Danio rerio: one gene and its partner. The protein of the gene in region 1 purifies or fractionates together with the protein of each later gene. This does not show direct contact. Links are inferred from orthologs where the notes say so. Each region holds a gene or a part of one and is shown in the gene's direction. Other genes may lie near its edges. The genes, in order: junba and atf3.

Region 1 (9,975 bases):
ACTATTATTATTATTAGCACTATTATTATTAATATTATTTTCAAAATACTTTTTGTTGTTAATATTAATATTATTAATATTATTTTCATTATTGTCAATAGTAGTAGTAATACCACTATATTATTATGGTCACTATTCTTATTATATCACTATAACTGTTATATTACTATATTATATATTTATATTATTAATATTTTTACCATTAATATTGTCACTATTATCATCCTCATCATCATCACTTTTATTATCAATAGTATCATTATAATTATTATCAAAATGATTCCAGCATCACTGAAAATCCCCCTTTATTTTTAAGAGTGCATGCATCAAGTTTGAGAGACCGGCACAACTACACTAACATGCAGTCTGCATTAATATGTCAGATGAAGAACAGATAAAGAACAAATGAAGAACGTGCTCTCTGAATCTCACACTCTTGCGCCAGAGTGTTGTGTACGTGCTGCTATCTATCAGCCTTCTCCCCTCCTCCAGCGCTCCATGTGCGGGGGCGTCGCCGCTGGAATCAGGCCCACATGGGAGAGGTTTCCCGGTCCTACACTAAGGAGGAACTACACTGCGGTTTGCCCATATATGGGACTCATATCAGTTGCCAAATCCTGAGTCAGATCATTCCAGATCAATGCAGAGTTATGTTTACAGGTTATACTTTAGAGTACAAATCTCTAGTGTAAAACATCAGCAGTTTCTTTTTTTATGTTTCTACATATTTAGCTTTTGAATTGCATTATGGGATCTTTCTTTCAACAACTTTTAGCCATAACAAGTGGCTTTATTAACATTTCTAATAGTTTAAAGTGATATATTGTCTGGGTTGGTGTTGTATATTGTGTTACAAAAACCTCGTAATAAACTGCCAGTACATTTTCTTTGATTTATTTCTCTCAATATATTATTTCTTATTCATTATATTATTTCAAACTACACTGTAAAACCCCAAAAGTTAAGGTAACTCAAACCATTTAAGGTAACCTATTGCAACAAACTTGAGTTCAAAAACTAATCCTAATGAGTACTGTGAACTTACTCCATTTGAGTAAACGAAGCAATTTGATCACAGTAAAACCCAATAAATGAAGAGAACTCAAACCAACTGAGTACTGCAAAACTCAATGAGTTAAGGCAACTCAAACCGTTTGAAGAAACTGATTGCTACAAACCATTTGAGTTAAAAAACAAATCAATATGAGCACTTTACTCCATTTAAGTTGAATTAATGAGGTATTTAATTAACTCATTACCTTCAACCCTGAGTTCAAAACTATTTTCAAATGAGTTCTCTGTTAAAATAGTTGGGTTAAAAATACCCCAACATATAAATCAACTATAGGTTATTATAGCACCTTCCCAACTATGGGCTATTTTAACCCAAAGCATTGGGTTATTTTAATTAAATGTTATTTTTTCCATTCTGCTATTACTATTGAAGTACTACTTTTATTTTCTAACTATGGCTGTGAAAATTAATGAATCTCTCCGCTGGGTCCCAAAGGCAAGAATGGCAGGTGAAACTGATATAAAAAACATGACACAGAGAGTAATTTGATAAAAAATAACAATATTATTATGTTACAGCTTAAACTTCACAACGCAAAAACAACATTACTTGCGCATATTAATACAGCTCTTCTGTGTCAGTTAAATCAGTTGACTGTGGAAATTCAAAATTTTAACCCAACTAGTTGAGTTATTATTAAATAATCTAATAAAGGTTCAAATATATCTTAACAAAACATCAAATATTTACCCAACTGATTGAGTTATTATTAAATAATCTAATAAAGGTTAAAAAATATCCCAACAAAACATCAAATATTTACCCAACTGATTGAGTTATTATTAAATAATCTAATAAAGGTTAAAAAATATCTCAACAAAACATCAAATATTTACCAAACTGGTTGAGTTATTATTAAATAATCTAATAAAGGTTAAAAAATATCTCAACAAAACATCAAATATTTACCAAACTGGTTGAGTTATTATTAAATAATCTAATAAAGGTTAAAAAATATCTCAACAAAACATCAAATATTTACCAAACTGGTTGAGTTATTATTAAATAATCTAATAAAGGTTAAAAAATATCTCAACAAAACATCAAATATTTACCAAACTGGTTGAGTTATTATATAATAACCTAATAAAGGTTAAACGTAACCCAACAAAACATCAAATATTTACCCAACTGGTTGAGTTATTATTAAATAACCAAATAAAGGGTAAAAATAACCCAACAAAGCACCAAATATGTTTAACTCAACCATTGGGTTTAAGAAATAACTAAACGTTAAGAACGTGTAGAGTTAACTTTCAGTGAATTTTGAGTTAACTCCACTCATTTCATTTGATAAAGTTGACAAAAATGTCAATAAAAGTCACTTTGTTCAACTGCAGAGTTTAATTTTCAACATTAAAAGTCGACAGAGCAGATATCAACATCCCATAATGCAATTCACACCTATAAATAAACAGAAAACACACATGTGAATCACTAAATACAGTAACTGTTCATTAACACATTTTTATTTACAGTGAATTCTATGAGAAGGATCTATTATTATTACTAGTCATGTTTTATGTGTTATATGACTCAGTACTTAAAAAGCAGTCCAATTCAAATAGCTGATAAGCCCTTGTATGAATCTGTATTAGATATTCTCTTAATTACTTTTATTTTTATATTACTCACTATAGCCTTTCCTAGCATGTTTAACAATAAAGCACATTAACGGGATAGTTCACCCACAAATTATATGTCTGTCATCATTTACTCACCTTTTACTTGCTTCAAAACTTTTATGTTGAACAATGAAGAAGATATTTTGAAGAAAGCTGAAAAAATCTAACGGTTAAGAAAAACAAACACAATGGAAGTCAATGGGTTTCCAGCATTCCTCAAAATATCTTCTTCAGTGTTCAACATATAAAGAAAGGTTTGAATCCAGTCAGTAAATGATGACAGAATTGTAACTCTTGGGTGAACTAACCCTTTAATAGAGCTTCTCTTGATCATTGACGAGATGATGTGGTAGCTCAGACACATTTAACTTGGGCTGAAATCCCCCAATCTCAATCCTGCAATCCTGTATTTACTTAAATGGCCAGTTTAGATGCTCCACCTAAATTAAAGGAATATATTTAGAGCTTGACATTTAAAATAAATTCCAATTTCGTTTATATTAAAGAGCTCCTCGTATATTCTGCTTCAGATCTACGGAGATCACAGTATTGTGTTGGAACCTTTTGTTTCCATTTCGACAAGAATGTTTATTATTATTATTCACACGACATCCTCTAACGTAGTGTTTTTCTCAAGAGACCACAGTAGTGTTTCTGTTTTCATGGCCATGGGAAACTTTTCTTAAAAGTGCCGAGCTATTGCGGCCAGTTTTTGCTTCTTGTCTGTGGAAACAAAAATAGGAGCGCAGCGCTCGGTCTCCCTTTGCTCTCTCGCCTCCAGCGTTGTTTTCAATCTCAGCGCTTACTGGCAACAACGTCATCAACCCATCTGACAGCTCGAGGAGCGGAACGAACTCTCGTCCAATCAGCGGCCGCGATTATCTCAGCCACGCCCTCAGCATTTGGAGTATATAAGAATGAAGGCGCACTTATCATGATACTGAATGCGCGACGGGCCAGAAGAGCTGTTTGTAAATAACCGTCTGGGAAGACACTTTTTGGACGTCAGCTGTCGAGAGAAAACACCTGTCGAATTGGTACAGTAAACTATTTTGGAAGTTTCTTCTTTTTTTGCTCTCTTTTGCCTGATGTAATATAACGGAGAGAACTTGCGGACTTTAGTCAGCTTCAGTACGTCCCAACGTAATCTCTGTTCACATGTCAACAAAAATGGAGCAACCGTTTTATGACGACTCGTTTCTTTCTGCTTATGGTCATCCAGACGCTGCCCTGCACGACTACAAGCTCCTAAAGCAGAACATGAGCGTGAGCTTCGCCGAACCCTACCGGAACCTCAAGACCCTCCGCTCCGAAAGCGACTTCTACACGGCGGCGACCGGAGACGTGGGCTCGCTGAAACTCGCCTCTCCGGAGCTAGAGAGACTCATCATCCAGAACGGTAACGGCGTCATCACATCACCCACGCCGGGGCAGTATTTGTACGGTCGGAGCATCACAGAGGAGCAAGAGGGCTTCGCGGACGGATTCGTCAAAGCGCTGGACGAGCTCCACAAAATGAACCAAATGCCCCCGCCGAACGTGTCCATCGGAGCCCCCGGGGTGTCGAGTTGTTCGGTGGCGTCGTCAGTCTTCGGCGCCTCCTTACCGCCCGAGACTCCGGTGTACACCACCCTGAACAGCTGCAATCCTAACACTAACCTCACACCTGCAGCCAACTACCCGACAGCCACCATCAGCTACCTGCCTCACCATCACCACCACCAGCAGTACCACCACCATCACCACCAGCCCACGCCGCATCCTCATCACTTCCAGCACTCGCTCCATCCGCAGCGGCTCGTTACTCTGAAAGAGGAGCCACAGACCGTCCCCGACCTGCAGAGCAGCGATGGTTCTCCTCCCATGTCGCCCATCGACATGGAGGACCAGGAGCGCATCAAAGCGGAGCGCAAGAGGCTCCGGAACCGACTGGCGGCCACCAAGTGCCGGCGACGGAAGCTGGAGCGCATCTCCCGGCTGGAGGACAAAGTGAAAGTGCTCAAGTCGGATAACGCCGGACTGTCCAGCACTGCGTCCCTGCTGAGGGAGCAGGTAGCTCAGCTTAAGCAGAAGGTCATGACCCATGTGAGCAGCGGGTGCCAGCTGATGCTGACGCCGAAGATCAAGTCGTTTTAGGGGGGAGAGGGATGCTACGGACTCTGGGAAACACTGGAAGAGCAGATCCTGTTTGTGATGATGTTATTGTCGCAGCACTGAGTACGAGCGTTGTATATTTCTTAAGTGTTTTCTTGTAGAAAACTTTAATGTTATTGTTGTTTTCCAAAGATAAGGTACTTTCAGCCGAACGGACAATGGACTAAACTTTTGAAGTGAACAGTTTTGGTTTTGTTGTTAAGTGCTGCCCTTTGAAAACATTCCAGTAAGTTATTGATATTGTGAGTCAGGTTGAGCCAGACCTTTAACTGTTTTTCTGTTTGTTTGTTTTTGTTTATTTTTTATATTTAAGTAAAAATGTTGAAAATGATTCTACTGTTTGGGTTGTTTATTTCAAGCGTAGAGCAGAAACAAAGTTTATTCTGTAGCCTACGGCTTTAAAGTTACGTCGAAGACGTGCCCACGTTGGCTTTTTTTTTCCTGCTGACGCAAGGCCCATATATGGGCAGTTTTGGTCTATGTACGTCACTAAGGGTAGATTTCGGGAACCCCCGCCCACGCTACCGGTCAGGAAGTCCGCGCGCTTTCAACTCTGACGTTCGATGAATGGAGCGCGTGTGAACGAGAGAAAATTTAGCAACGCGGGATTTTCCCCGCGCGCACAAACCTTCCCAAAACAGTTTCAGCGAAAAGAAAACTAGAGATAAAAATATGAGCACGGGCATTTTCCAGGTACTTTGCAGAAAACGGAGCCGTCGCAAGCACAAAAATAGACAAACAGATCTCAGTAAATATAAGAGCAAGGCTTATAAACGAGAAGTGCCCACAGTGACTCCTTTATCAGCTATTTCCCGAAAACACACAGGCGGTAGATTAGCCGAACTGGCCATTAAAAACGCCAACCCTTTATTAAAATGTTAAATTCATTTGAATAATTCCTAAAATACTTAGATTTTAGGTGACAAAAAGAGGGTTATTTGTCCATTATGCTAATTACACCTTTCAGATGTTGAATGAATGGTTGTTTCGAGCCTCCTCACAGACTATAAACACACATCTACACTGAATTGTGCCGTAGAAAGTTCACTTAGCTACTTCAAATGTTTTCGCAGCGATGCAGTGTTAGAAATCTCTTCTTAAAAGAAGGCATCTTGCCTATTATATTTTCTTTTACAAAATCATCTGGAAAAGTACCCTATTCCACAATAAAGATCAATCTAAAAGTTTCTAGATTATAAAATAGCCTTTCATTTTAAAGAGCCAAGTCAACATTTTAAACCCAGGAATTTTTACTGGCAACATATGAAGTTAATAATTAACATTTTTAGCATATTTTTTAGTTTTGTAGTGGTCATTTTTGTCACCATAGTCTGAAACCAAGCTAATACACGTTATAAACATTTAGATTTTTAAATAAGGTAAAGCAAAGGGACAAGACAGACAAGAAAATGAGTGAATGAATAAGGTAAAGCTTGAGATGACAGGATAATAACACGGCACACTTTATATTATAATATCTGTTATATTTAAAAAAAAAAAAAAAAAAGTATAACATTTTATTAAGGCAGAATTTACCTTTTTCATGGACACAGAAATGAGCCCTGGCCTTTAAATAATAAGAAAACACGGGGATGTTGTAAACAAAATTACAGATTTAAGCAATAAAGACAATTCTAGGAGATTAACTAAATTACTATTTATGTCTGAGCTGGTTTAAAATTCAGTGTAAAATAACCACAGAATTTACGAATCACTTGTTTAAGCAAGTACACATTCACTCAGTCCTGAACACGAGATTTGCCAAATATTTATTAAAATTGTTTTGGGTTTATGTAGAAAAGTGATTCCTGCTTCATTACAGCTGAATCAATGAGGACTCCAGAGCTGTAACTCTGTCCTAACTATAATGAAACACTGCCACCTGCAGGGCAGATTTGTTAATATTCTGTTAATTTTGACTTCCACCAAAAATATTGTAATGTCATTATCAGAGAAAATACGTTTGACTTCGCCTGCTACCTTTAATCTTAATAACTTTATATTCTTAAACAAGCATTTTAATCAGGGTGTGAATCATTTAGGCCTATGTTCGATAGCGTATTACACGCTTCAGTGAATCAAATGTCTGTTTTATATATTTATATAATAATATATGTTTTATATATTCATTTTAATTACGTATATTTTAATAATAAAACATAAGTCTTCAGTGTTTTAAAGGATATTTAGCGTATTCTAACTTATAGTGACTCGATTAGTCGTTTCAGGGGTTACTTTAGGTCAATCTATATAACTCAATTGACTTTAGTTTTAAGTTATATACAGACACAAACATATATTCTACTTAAAACAAGTGTCTTTTAAACACTTACGATGTCTGTAGCTGCTGAAGACCTGCCAGTTTCAGACTATCGTCGAGTGAATGTTTTTTCCTCACAGAGTGTTTGGCGCGCTTGCCTTCACAATGGTATGAACCGTTATAGGGGTGGTAAAATGTATATTTATACTATTAATTGAATTATAATATTATATAAGATACTATGGAGGGAGAAAGGGAGAAACCTGCAAAAACAATAAAATAAAAAATAAATAGCAAATTAACTAAATAATAAATCCACAAATTCCTGCATAAATAAAACAATAAATCAATAAATATGCAAATTTATCCCAAAGTCCTGCCTAAATAAAACACTAGCCAAATAAATAAGTAAATAAATTAATAAATTCCTGCATAAACAAAGCAATAAATTAATAAATATCCAAAAAATAACTTAATGTATATAAAACACAAATTCCTGCATAAATAATTGTTTAAATAGTACAGGCAGATTAAAAATAAATTACACAGATGTTGGGGGAATAAGAAAATGCTTAACTGAACGTGGATTTCTCCCCCTTTCAAACTACTATTAATTATGCACAAATTTGTAGATTTTATACATTTAATTGTGTATTTATTTAATGTTTTATTTATGCAAGAATAAATATTTGTTTGCGTAGGTATTTATTTATTGTTTTATTTATGCAGGAATGTGTATGTATTTATTTATTCATTTATTTGCATATTTCTTTATTGTTTTGCAGGTTTTGTTCTCCATACCCACACTATTATTCATTTCAATATTTATTTATGCAACATTTTTAAAAAAAATTTTAAAATACACTCATTTGGATATTTATTTAAGGTTTTATTTATGCAAGAATTTATTGATTTATTTACTCATTTAATTTTTGCCTATTTATTAAATTTGTTTTCGCAGGTTTAGTTTCATGAATTATCATGCAATTTCATGATATGCATTTATCTCTCAAATTCTGTTCCATCTATTATAATTCTAATATTAAAACATGAAGAAAACACTACTGTGTCCTTCTGCATTTAAAATTCGGTTTACCATGCCATTACCATACCTTCTAAACTAATTAAATGTTTAATTTGAGGTCAACCATCCATTAAGTAGCAAGCACAATAAGACAACTGCAACATTCAGCAATAACAGCCTGTTTATTTAACAGAGATATTGACAAAATCACCAGAATGCCAACAACTTGAGAGAATTTAAAACCAGCTATGTTCACAGAGTACCAAATATGCAATGCAGACTAACTAGCTGAACACAAACTACAGATATTTCAGTGCATGAGAGACGCGGGCTGAAACGGCTTCTTCAGACAGAAATCAGACTAACTAGTGCATTTAACCTGTGTTTGTTACGATGGCTAAATCAACTTTTCTAGACCCCCTCAGGCTGAATTTAAGTGCTTCAACAGCCCAGTGAATGCAGAAATAGAGACTGTTACTGCTTGGAGAAAAACTCCTTGCTCTTCTGCACGTCGGGAACGATGGTGTCACTTCCTGGCTTCCATCCAGCAGGACAAACTAAAGGAGAAAGCATAAGAAGTTATAATAAGTGATTTTGGCGCCCTCTTGTGTCATGCATAAAGTATTACATCAGTTACAGTTCAAAAAGTAGGGAGTCTTTAAGATTTCTACTGTTCTTTAAATATTTGTATAATGTTCACAAAGCTGAACTTACGAATATTAAATGCAAAAAAAAACTTTCATACTTCAATTAAAAATAACTGATTTCTATTCAAATGTTTTAAACTTATTTCTGTCTCGCAAAGCAGGATTTTCAGCATCATTGTCGTCTTCACAGTCACATGATCATTGAAGAAAAACTAGCACCGATAGCAATTTTCTTGGATGATTCAGATTCCCAATTTTTTTTTTAAATATACAAAAAAAAAAAAATTCTGAAAAAAAAAACAACAGAAATATAAAAATCTGACAAGACTCCAAGTTAAATTTTGCATGAACCAGAGGAATTAAGATGTTAATTCAAATAATGCGAGATGAAATGAACAAATTCTTGACGTATTGAGCATTACAGTCATGTGACCAGTCAGCTGTCTCCATTATGCTTTGTTTACTTTTGGTTGCTAGGTTACCAATACCACAGTTGGCCACTTTAACAACCTGATAGTGCTTAACCCAGTTTACTGACAAATTAAAAGTCCTTCCGCATATACGCCATTAAATAGAAGACCAGCCGGTCATCGTTTAGGCCGATCATGAGGAAATGTCAGCTGATTACAATCCCTGGCCAGTCAAGAGAAAAAAAAACCTGATTCATATAACGCACATTAGTCGCACTTTTGGAGTCACAAAGGTGCATGTGCAGGCAACTTTTTCACTTCATAAGACCTCAATGCATGGTCAGCAGTCAGAGGTGTTCATTATGTTTTGCCTGTATGCATTTTTTTTTACTCTAAAAGTGGTGGTTGATGCTGACCTGCATTTAATGAAACCAGCAAGAACCACAATTGCATTTAAAAATCTTCTTTAAAATGTTCTGAGATAAAAAAAAGGTGGAGGGGAGAGAAAACCTAGATGGAATGACTATAAAAAAATATTAAAATCATTTGTTTTCATTTTTATAGGTTACTTTCTTCTAAATCACACAAAAATATCAGATTTCAAGTCAAACTTGTAGACGGTAATCTTACTAAAGACGTTGGCTTAAGTTTTGCACAAATAAAGGCTTGACACCCCTATTTCAGATACATTGTGTTTCACAATTTAACTTTTATGTTGCCTTCAGGATGCGTTGATGTTTACACAACAAATACAACATGCTTAGAATGATCTGGAAACAT
Region 2 (10,651 bases), on another chromosome or scaffold:
TGTTATATATTTTAGTAGTTCCAGTTTTGGTACTGACTAATCTAATGTATATGTAATATTGTAAAGCATTGTATAAATAATGTTACATTAAAAGATGGATCTGTGAGGGATGTACTCATTTATGCTGAGCACACATTATAAATAAATAAATAAATAAATGTCCAATTCTACAGAAATATCCAATGATACAAAGAGAACGAACATAATTTAGGACATATTTTGTAAACTATTAATTGTTATGATTATGTGTAGAATTAAATTGTTTTAAATATTAAAACAACATATTGTGTAGGTATTGTTTTTAATTTTGTGTTACTTAAACCACAAGTCTTGCTGGTTGTACTAGAAAAAGCATATAAAATATTTGTATTAGTATTTGTCCTTGTTTTACAAAAGGTGCTACAAATTCTTAAATGATACAAAGAAAACATACATAGACAAAAGATAATGTGCATACTTTTAATGGCTATATTAAGTATGTGTGAAATCAAGGTGTTTAAAATATCAAAACAACCAACTGGTATTCTTTTAATCTTAAAACTCTGCTTACTCAAAATGCTAGCATATTTGTATTTGCCAGAAAGTGCTACACGAAATATACTTATATATAAAGTACAGACACAATTAAGAAATATTTATTATAAACTTATTTATATCTCTAAAGTTTTCACTTTTGTACTTATTACAATGTACTTAGTAAATCTACAAGCCTTGCTATTGTTCACCAATATATTTTATTTCATTGTATTTTATTTTAGACAAACGTAAATGCCATAAACAGAACAGACACAGTTTGTGCATATTTTGCATACTTGGTTTCGATAATTATGATGTTTATGATGCTTGTTGAATTACACTAAAGACTTGTAAACAAAAGTAAAAGATAAACACATAAATTCCTTTTCAAAATAAAACTGAAACCAAATGCAAGACATGATAAAATCCCAACCATACAGAACTACGTAATTCTATTCATTTTAATGATTAAATTCTGAACTTGCGTCCACGTCTTTAATCTTAATAACATGCTCCCAATATTATAGAACATATCACAATGCATTAATTATACAAAGGATTAATATAATTGCAGAATATGGTGTAAGAATTTAGTGTTAAATTTAATGATCACTATGGTAGATGTGAAGATATTAATACTGGATGCACAGCTAAAATCAACTGAAAGATATGTGTGTAGATACAGTATATGAAGCAATATACACTCTAAAAAAGCAGGGTTATTTCAACCCAACTGTGGGTGTGTTACAGAACACAGCTGCTGGGTTGTTGTTTTTTTTTATTAGATTTATAGGACTAAATTAAACTCAATGTTTGAGTTTGTCCACGTTTTGGCCAATTTTAGTTTAAATAACTCAGCATTTCTTACAATGAAATGAGTGTAGTTGACTCAGAATTTACTGAATGTTAAATCGACTCATTTGAAAAGAGTTTTGAGCTCACTGTTAAAGGTAATGAGTTAATTAATTCTACATGACTACCTCATTACTTCAACTTATAGAGCTCACAGTACTCATATACATTAGATTTTTAACTCAAATGGTTTGTATGGGTTTCCTCAAATAGTTTGAGTAGGCTGAAGTTTTACAGTATAGTTTTACAGTACCCAGTTGGGTTGAGCTCTCTTCATTTATTAGGTTTTACTTTGCTCAAATTGCCTCGTTTACTCAAATGGAGTAAGTTCACAGTACTCAGTTTTTGAACTTAAATGGTTTGTTGCAATCGGTTTTCTGAAATGGTTTTAGTTACCCTAACTTTTTGGGTTTTACAGAGTAGAGTGTACATAAAACACAAATGTATCTATTGCTTCATAAATATATATGTACACATATTTGAATCAGTTAAAATGTATATTTTAATATTTACTCAAATGTATTTATTGCTTTAAACTTAAAAAAAAAATCCCATATGTTGATGGATATCAACAAAACAACAACAGCAATTTCGCTATATAGTTAATATTCATGTATATTTTTATATTTACACGAATTATTGCTTTATATAAATGTACACATATTTGAATCTTTTAAAGTGTATATTCTAATATACACTCAAATGTATTCATATACACATATTTAAATCAGTTAAAATATAATTTAAATCAATCCGTGATGCAGAAATACACTGTAAAAAAATCCTGGTTGCCTTAAATTGTTAAGCTGAATCAAATTCATGAGTCAATTGAACTGATATTATGTTAAACTGACTTAAAACAGCTTAATAACTTATACAATTAAGCTAGAACATGATTAGCTTAGTTTATGAAGTTACAATGAACTAAAAACATATGCTGTCAGGACTAATTGATCAAATGATTTTTTAAAGTTTAGCAAATGACTTCTCTTTTAAAACGTGACCATGTTTTCTTGTCGAAAATCAGATTAGACCAACAATAAAGATACAGACAGTTGAGTCAAAATGAAACAAAAAAAAATCTTTGCATCAAAAAGAAAGTGAGGGAAATGCAAACTCTGCTGTTTACACACCGTTATCTTTCTGTTCCTAAACTCAAACTTGGCACATTTTTGTTGACAGACAGACAACAATCAACAAGTAACAGATGGAAAAGTGAAATCACTTCTCCTGAAACTTCTAGTGTATTAATAGCTAACAGGTCAATATTGACATCATAACAGCTGTATCCATGTATCCCAGACAGAAAATGGCTGCGGGCATTCAAACACCTGTTTGACTTCATACGATGAACTCTATGACGTGACTCTGCCCTGCCAGATATGATAAAGAGATGATAAGATGGGTAATATACTGCTATATTAAGCTCTGTGTACTGTTTTAGATATAGATCATTCGCACGGGGCCACGTATGTCCGCTATGGCTGAACACATACAGTTGAAGTCAGAATTATTAAACCCCCTGAATTATTAGCTCCCTGTTTATTTTTTCCCCCAATTTCTTTGTAAGGGAGATAAATTTTTTTTCAACACAAACATAATAGTTTTAATAACTCCTTTATAATAACCGATTTATTTTATCTTTGCCATGATGACAGTAAATAATATTATACTAGATATTTTTCAAGACACTTCTATACAGCTAAAAGTGACATTTAAAGGGTTAACTGGGTTAATTAGGGTAACTTGGCAGGTTAGGGTAATTAGACAAGTTATTGTATAAAGATGGTTTGTGCTGTAGACTATCGAAAAAATATATCTCATAAAATGTTAGAAACTTTTGTACAAAAAATCCATGTTTAAAAAAAAATATTTGATAGTATTGGGCAATTAAAATCAAAGCATGTTGCAAATGTTGCAAGAGCTTTTCTCAGAACTAAATAACTTCCCGTTTCTTAGCCGTTTGCTTTTTCATTTTTGTTTTTTTTATGATTAATAACCAGCTAGAATCAAGGTGATTTTCTAGTTACAATAAATAAATAAATAATGAATAAAAATATAAGAAAAAATAAGAAAAGAATCTCTCTTGTACATTTTGGGGTCATTATATCATTATTTTTTATGTTTTCAGATATAAGTGTATGTGGTTTGTTGTTAATATCCATTTTTGACATTTCCTAATAGATAATAAGTAAAAATAGAAAAAAAAACTTCTTCATATAATTAAAAGTAATAAATAAATAAATAAAAATAATAAATAAAATAAGAATGGAAAATATAATAAACATATTTCTTTAGTCCTACCTTGTATTTTGGGGTCGTTATATCTTTATTTTTTAATGTTTTCAGATATTAGTATATGTGGTTTGTTGTTAATATCTATTTTTGACTTTTCCTATTAGCTAATAAGTAAAAATAGATAATAAATGAAAAACTTCTTCATATAATAAAATAAATAATATATTCTCATATGTTGGTGGATATCAACAAAACAACAACAGCAAATTTGCTATATAATAGTTCATATAGAAGTATTAACCCAGATTTAAACCAGACCTATTATTCTCTTGAGAAATACAAATACTTGTTTGGACTTTGTGTCATGTTTAGACACGACTCCTTGGTAACATTATTTAGTGTCCAAGCACAAATGTATGTAATAAAGGAGTGTTTTATTGGTGATTGCACCAGGACGGTGAGGAGAGATTACTGGAAATTTCCAGAACACATAGGAAAGAGTGTGGACTGGGCTGTGTAATAATGAACAGCTACGGCAAGAAAGCTGTGCTTCACATTGAAAAGAGGAATGCAGACACTGCTGACGACCCACTCCCTTAAAACATCACCAAATCACTGCGTTAAATATTGAATTGAAAGGAAAGTGAAATAGAAAAACATGAGAAAGATAACAAGCCTATCACTAATTTTACTATATATTTATTAAGCAAACTTTTATTTTATAGTGTTTTGTTACATATTAGATGTACCAAAACTAATTAAGAAAAAAACTTACTCATATCCACCAACTTATTAGTTTAGACAGACAGACAGACAGACAGACAGACAGACAGACAGACAGACAGACAGACAGACAGACAGACAGACAGACAGACAGACAGACAGACAGACAGACAGACAGACAGACAGACAGACAGACAGACAGACAGACAGATAGATAGATAGATAGATAGATAGATAGATAATATTTATAGATAGATTTGTTTTAGTGTTCTTTTTAGACAGAATATGCCTAAAAATAAATTAAATGCATAATTATTTGCAAATAAAATGAACCTTAAATTAATTTTACTCAGTACTTGATATAATGTATAATTAAAAGTAACAAGGATGCTCAAATAAAGTGTAATAAATCGAATTAAACTTTTAAAGTTGAATACACTCAAATATTCAACCCTCTAAAAACTGAAAACCTCTAAATGTCATGTTACAATATTACATAACAATAATTAAATTATTATTAAATGATAAAATCCTAAATTCAGTCAGAAACAAACCAACTAAATTCAAACGCCATAAAAGATATTCAAAGCTGTTTTTTCCCTGAGCCAGTGGACATTTAAAACCAAATTTAAAGCTTTTAAAAAAACAGCCATATACACACTGACCTTGGCTTCATCTCTCCATCTCTTCATAAAAATACTAATAAAAAAAAGACATAAACAAGAAAACATAGGCTAAGTGTTTTTAACTTAACAGACCAAGAGGGATTTTATATGCTCTCTTTCAAACCAAGCAGACAGTCTGTCAGTCAGTCAGTCAAACTCTCTCTCTTTCTCATATCTCTTTTTTCAAAACTATTCGGCACATGACATTAGAGCATACCAGAGATGGCCTGTCATTACACGAGTATATGTCTTTATTTGCTCATTAGGTTAACATGCCAGCTCGTCAGCTTCACTATTGTGAGGGAGGGCGGGAGTTTGCCCAGTTATGGTGCGCGGCGGAGAGGGTTGCCTGATTGCATCATCGCGAAAGGACAGCGCCGCTGATGCTATAAATAGGGTGACGTCACTCGCCCCGCCCCTAGTAGTAGTTCACGTCCTCCAGCCATAAAAAGGGGTGATGCAACGAGCCGGCGACAACTGTAACTTTAGCAGCTGAGCGCGAGAACAGTCCGGCATCAGGAGAGCATCACAAACACACGCGCCTACATTTATTTACACACAACCAGGTAAGAGACGGCATTGTAGATTTCCTATTCATCGCTATTCTGGAACACGCTGTGGGAAAACGTCTATGGTGTGCTTGGTTTGGGCTACTAAAGGGAGATTTTTGCGTTTATGGGTCAAGCGATTGTATTTAGGTTTGAGTTAACGAACTCTTTTTTAACGAACTTTTATTTAGCTATAATGTATGTGCATTACTGTTTTTTTGCGTTAATATTTGTTCGATATTTATTAAAATTGGATTAAAACTGATTGATTTAAGTTCTCCTGTTTTCAAATTGTTTAACCGACAATGTTACGTCAGTAAGTTTACTTCATCGACAATGTGTAACACGAATACAACTCATGAAATAGTTAAAGATTATGATTTCATATAGCCTACTCTGTATTGAAAACCTGTCACTTAAATGTTAAAATATTAGGACTAATAAGGTTCTTAATCAATATTTGATGGTTTAGATTATTCTGTTTGCGAGTTGTTACTGTAGGCTATAATGTATTTGTACAGTAGTACACATACATTAGCAAAACGTTTGTTGAAATGAATGTTTATGACAAAAAAAAGCGATAGCATACTGTATAAAGAGAGCAAAACGTCTATAATACGTCATTGTAAAAGCAAAATATTGACAGCTGTGGTAGCCAGAACCTATGAAAACCCCTATAAATACTGTAATAATGTAACGAGTAAGATTGCACTTTAATAATTGTAAGTTGTACAGTTTCTATCTATAATTGAATGGTAACGTTAATGTTTATTTACATTATTTATTCCTTTAAAAAGGATTAAAACCGATTGATACGAATACAACTCATTAAATAGTTAAAGATTATAACTTTACTATTTTACACTGTACTACAAACCTGTCAGTCAAATGTTTAAAATATTATTATTAATATGAAATTGTTCATTAATATTTGATGGGTTTAGATTATTCTGTTAGCTAGTCGTTACTTTATGTATTCCTGTCTAGTCATACACATAAAATAACAAAAAAGTGTGTTAAAATGAGTGTTTATGACAAAAAAAGCGATATACTGTGTAAAGAGAGTAAAACATCTATAATACGTCACTGTAAAAAAATATATATATATTGACAGCTGTGGAAGCTGGGAGCTTTTAAATTACGGTTGTCATTGTAAGATTGATTGAGAATGACATGTGGTAAAAATTGTTAGCCAAATTACTTTCTGCTCATGATATCTAGCCTTTTATTAGCCAGTTGTGTCTGTATAATATAATATAATATAATATAATATAATATAATATAATATAATATAATATAATATAATATAATATAAAAACTTTAAAAACATAAACCATAAACGTAACATAACAAAATTTAACAACACAAGAACTTGTGACTACAATATTCTCCCTTAATCAAAACTTTATCACTTTAAAATCTCTTATTACTTAAAATCACTTATCACTTTAAAATGCATATCATTTAATGAATTTAATATTATATTAATCACCTTGTTAAATGTAATATTTATATAAATATCATAAATGACAATAATATTTAACAAGGAATATATATTTTAATTACAATAACTGTATAACTATTGTTTATATAGTTTATTATTATTAACAAATTATAACTGATGGTATATAATTATAACATTATGCAATTAAACACTTTTATTTCTAAAATACAATATTTAATGATCATTTTTAAATGTTGTTTTTGTTACAATTTAATTAATGGGTCTTACTCTATAAATCTGATGTTCTTAATCATTTTCTAACTATAACACAGTTATTTCAGTAGTTTTATAGAGAAAGGTGTAACATTTTTACTTGTTTATTTATTTATCTATCTTACCATTTTCCTCGTTAACATCATGATTTAACTGTTGTTTTGTATTTTTTTAGATTTCGGCATGATGCTTCAGCACCCTGGTTTGGGTCCGTCAGAGATCAGTGCATCAGCTTTGGTTCCCTGTCTCTCTCCGCCCGGCTCCCTCACGCTGGACGACTTCACAAACTTCACTCCATTAGTGAAAGAGGAGCTGCGCTACGCCATCCAGAACAAACGCATGTCCAACGGCATGAGCACCCTGACCACTGACAGAGCCTGCATGAACACTGAGAGACCCACCGAACTACCTGGGATGAAGCGAGAGGTAAGACCCACTCATTTACTGGCACAAATGTTTTTTTTTTTTTTAAGTGTAATTTCTCATATTTCACATTGGTTATATTGAGTAACGTGGACGTAGAAAAGCCATGCTTGCACAATTCACTTGTTCATCCACTTGTGGGCATTTTAGGTAGTTTGGCTTTCCCAAATTGTTAGATGTTGTTATTTCAGGCTGTCCCAGAGGAGAACGACCGAAGGAAAAGAAGAAGGGAAAGAAACAAAATTGCAGCAGCAAAATGTCGGAACAAGAAAAAGGAGAAAACCGATAATTTACAAAAGGTATTACTTGTTATTTAGCATTTGATTAAAAAACGTAACATTTATATGAACATATATTATATCTGTTATTTTTTATTATTGATCTTTTTTGCTATTTTTAACTGTATTTGATTACATTATATCTATTACATCTACAGTTGAAGTCAGAATTATTAGGCCCCTTTAATTAATTAATGTTTTTTTAATTTTACAAATGATGTTTAACAGAGCAAGGAAATTTTTACTGTATGTCTGATAGTATTTTTTCTTCTGGAAAAAGTCTTATTTGTTTTATTTTGAGTAGAATAAAAGCATTTTTAATTTTTAAAAAAAACATTTTTAAGGTCAAAATTATTAGCCCCTTTAAGCTATATTTTTTACAGAACAAACCATCATTATACAATAACTTGCCGAATTACCCTATCCTGCCTAGTTAACCTAATTAACCTAGTTAAGCCTTTAAATGTCACTTTAAGCTGTATAGAAGTGTCTTGAAAAATATCTAGTCAAATATTATTTACTGTCATCATGGCAAAGATAAAATAAATCAGTTATTAGAAATGAGTTATTAAAACTATTATGTTTAGAAATGTGTAAACTCTCCATTAACCAGAAATTGGGGAAATATTAAACGGGGCCAATAATTCTGACTTCAACTGTACCTAGTATAGATGGAGTAAATAAAGTTAAAATAGTCTTTAAAAAAAGTTCTGAACTATAAAGTTCATTATAGAGTTTTTTATATTATGTTAATAAGTCATGCTATATATTTATTAGTGCTGTCGAAGAATTAATGGTTATTTATCACATCCAACATAGTTTATGTGTACTTGGTGTGTATAAATATTATATGAAATTAGAAGTGAAAATAATAATATTGAATAAAAACTCTGACAGCTGTTGTTAACAATAAAACTCACGTGATTCAAACATTAAAGCCAGATAAAAAAAAGTTTAATTTCTCTAATTTCTTTTCGGCTTAGTCCCTTAATTATTCATGGGTTGCCACAGCGGAATGAACCACCACCTTTTCCAGCACATGTTTTACGCAGTGGATGCCCTTCCTGCTGCAACCCATCTCTGGGAAAGGCAGTAAAAATAAAACATTAAATAAATAAATAAAATGACACAATATTTTTTTGCTTTGTCTATGACAATTACACATTTATCACACTTTCAACAGGGTTTTTACAGGTTTTATTAAGTCAAATTTAAGACTTTTTAAGACCATAATAAATGAAATTTCCGACTTACACTTACACAAAAGTTAAAACCTTAAAAAAAAAACATTAAAAACAAATGTCATTGTAAGGAAGATAATTAAACCATATTTAGTGAATTGAGTTAATAGATAAACGTTTCTTAAAACTTTTATTAATGTAAATTGTTGGTGGGTGGGTGTTGGCCCAATTAGGTATAGATTTACATAGACAAAGAAAAATTAAGACTCGTTTAAAATGATTTAAGACCTACAACACAATAATGCTAGTGGATTGAAGACTTTTAAAGGCCTAAAATTTGGGTTTTTAAATGTAAGAATTTTAAGACTTAAGACCCCGCAGATACTGTTTCAGGTTATTTTGAGTAAATAAATTAACTGGCGCCCAATTAAATTAATTAGTTTAATTATGTTTTCCTCTTTATTTTATATTAATCACAATTAAGCTCTAAAAACTCAAGAAACTCATGTATGTTCTTGTTTTGACTTTAGGAGTCTGAGAAGCTTGAGTCCATCAATGCAGAGCTGAAAGCTCAGATCGAGGAGCTGAAGAACCAAAAGCAGCAGCTTGTTTACATGCTCAACCTGCACAGGCCCACCTGCATCGTCCGCGCTCAGAACGGCCAGACCCCCGAAGACGAGAAGAAGCTTTTCATCCAACAAATCAAAGAATCCACACTCCAGGGGCTGGGTTTTGCCACCAATGGACCAACACACACCGCCATACCAACCAGCTGTGGGCATCTGTGAATCACAAACTCTCCAGGCAAACAAGCTAACGGCTCGCCAAGGAACACTGGAAGGTTTGCCCAAGTAAAAACAAAAAAGGACTAAACACGGGTGCCTGCCATGCTGCCAATTAAGGTCGGTCTGATGTACACTGAAAGAGACTAAAAGCACTAAAAGTGTTGAAGGACATTCAATGCGTTTTCACTTAGTTATTTAAATGTGTTCGTCATTGTACTGTTTAACATGATATGCTTGTTTTTCGTATGCACCACCAAAGCTTGATGTCATGTTGCTGCTGCTAGAACAGCATGATTTCATTTATTTATCAGCTTGTTTGTTGAATGAAACCCTGGCGGTGTGTGTTTGATGGCAAGTGCTGTTCTAGTGAGGGGAATATATGTGTGTTTTTGTTTTTGATTTCTTGGCAAGATATACAGGGTGATGAATGAAGTTCAGTTACATATTTATCTATGGCCTTTACCTTGTTAAAGGGATATTTCAGCTCAAAATGAACATTTTCTTACTTGTTGCTTCTGTTGAACACAAAAGAAGATATTTTGAAGAATGTATATGGCCATTTTTCCTATTAGTTCAATGGCTACTGAATTCCAACTGTCTTCAAAATGCCTTCTTAGGAGTTCAACAGAAAAAAAAAACTGCTGATCAATCTGAGGGTGAGTAAATGTACATTGTTGGGTGAACTATCCCTTTATAGTTATTATGTGTCCACATAACATGCCACA

What was found.
Region 2: the proteins of junba (region 1) and atf3 purify together in Homo sapiens (affinity purification with mass spectrometry; 3 studies listed by BioGRID and IntAct, counting the BioPlex papers as one, with this or other methods). This does not show direct contact. The link is inferred for Danio rerio from reciprocal best matches to the Homo sapiens genes JUNB and ATF3.

The regions. Positions count from the first base shown.
Region 1 is NC_133176.1:55,051,261-55,061,235, reverse strand, and holds junba (junB proto-oncogene, AP-1 transcription factor subunit a), read left to right. Parts: upstream 1-3,633; 5' UTR 3,634-3,737; exon of another isoform or gene 3,738-3,858; coding exon of another isoform or gene 3,859-3,960; coding exon 3,961-4,836; 3' UTR 4,837-5,185; downstream 5,186-9,975. Other genes in the region: prdx2 (peroxiredoxin-2), read right to left, coding at 8,613-8,695. UniProt on the Homo sapiens protein: Transcription factor involved in regulating gene activity following the primary growth factor response. Binds to the DNA sequence 5'-TGA[GC]TCA-3'.
Region 2 is NC_133195.1:41,071,755-41,082,405, forward strand, and holds the start of atf3 (cyclic AMP-dependent transcription factor ATF-3), read left to right. Parts: upstream 1-5,469; 5' UTR 5,470-5,560; intron 5,561-7,434; 5' UTR 7,435-7,442; coding exon 7,443-7,685; intron 7,686-7,832; coding exon of another isoform or gene 7,833-7,873; coding exon 7,874-7,981; intron 7,982-9,671; coding exon 9,672-9,929; 3' UTR 9,930-10,651.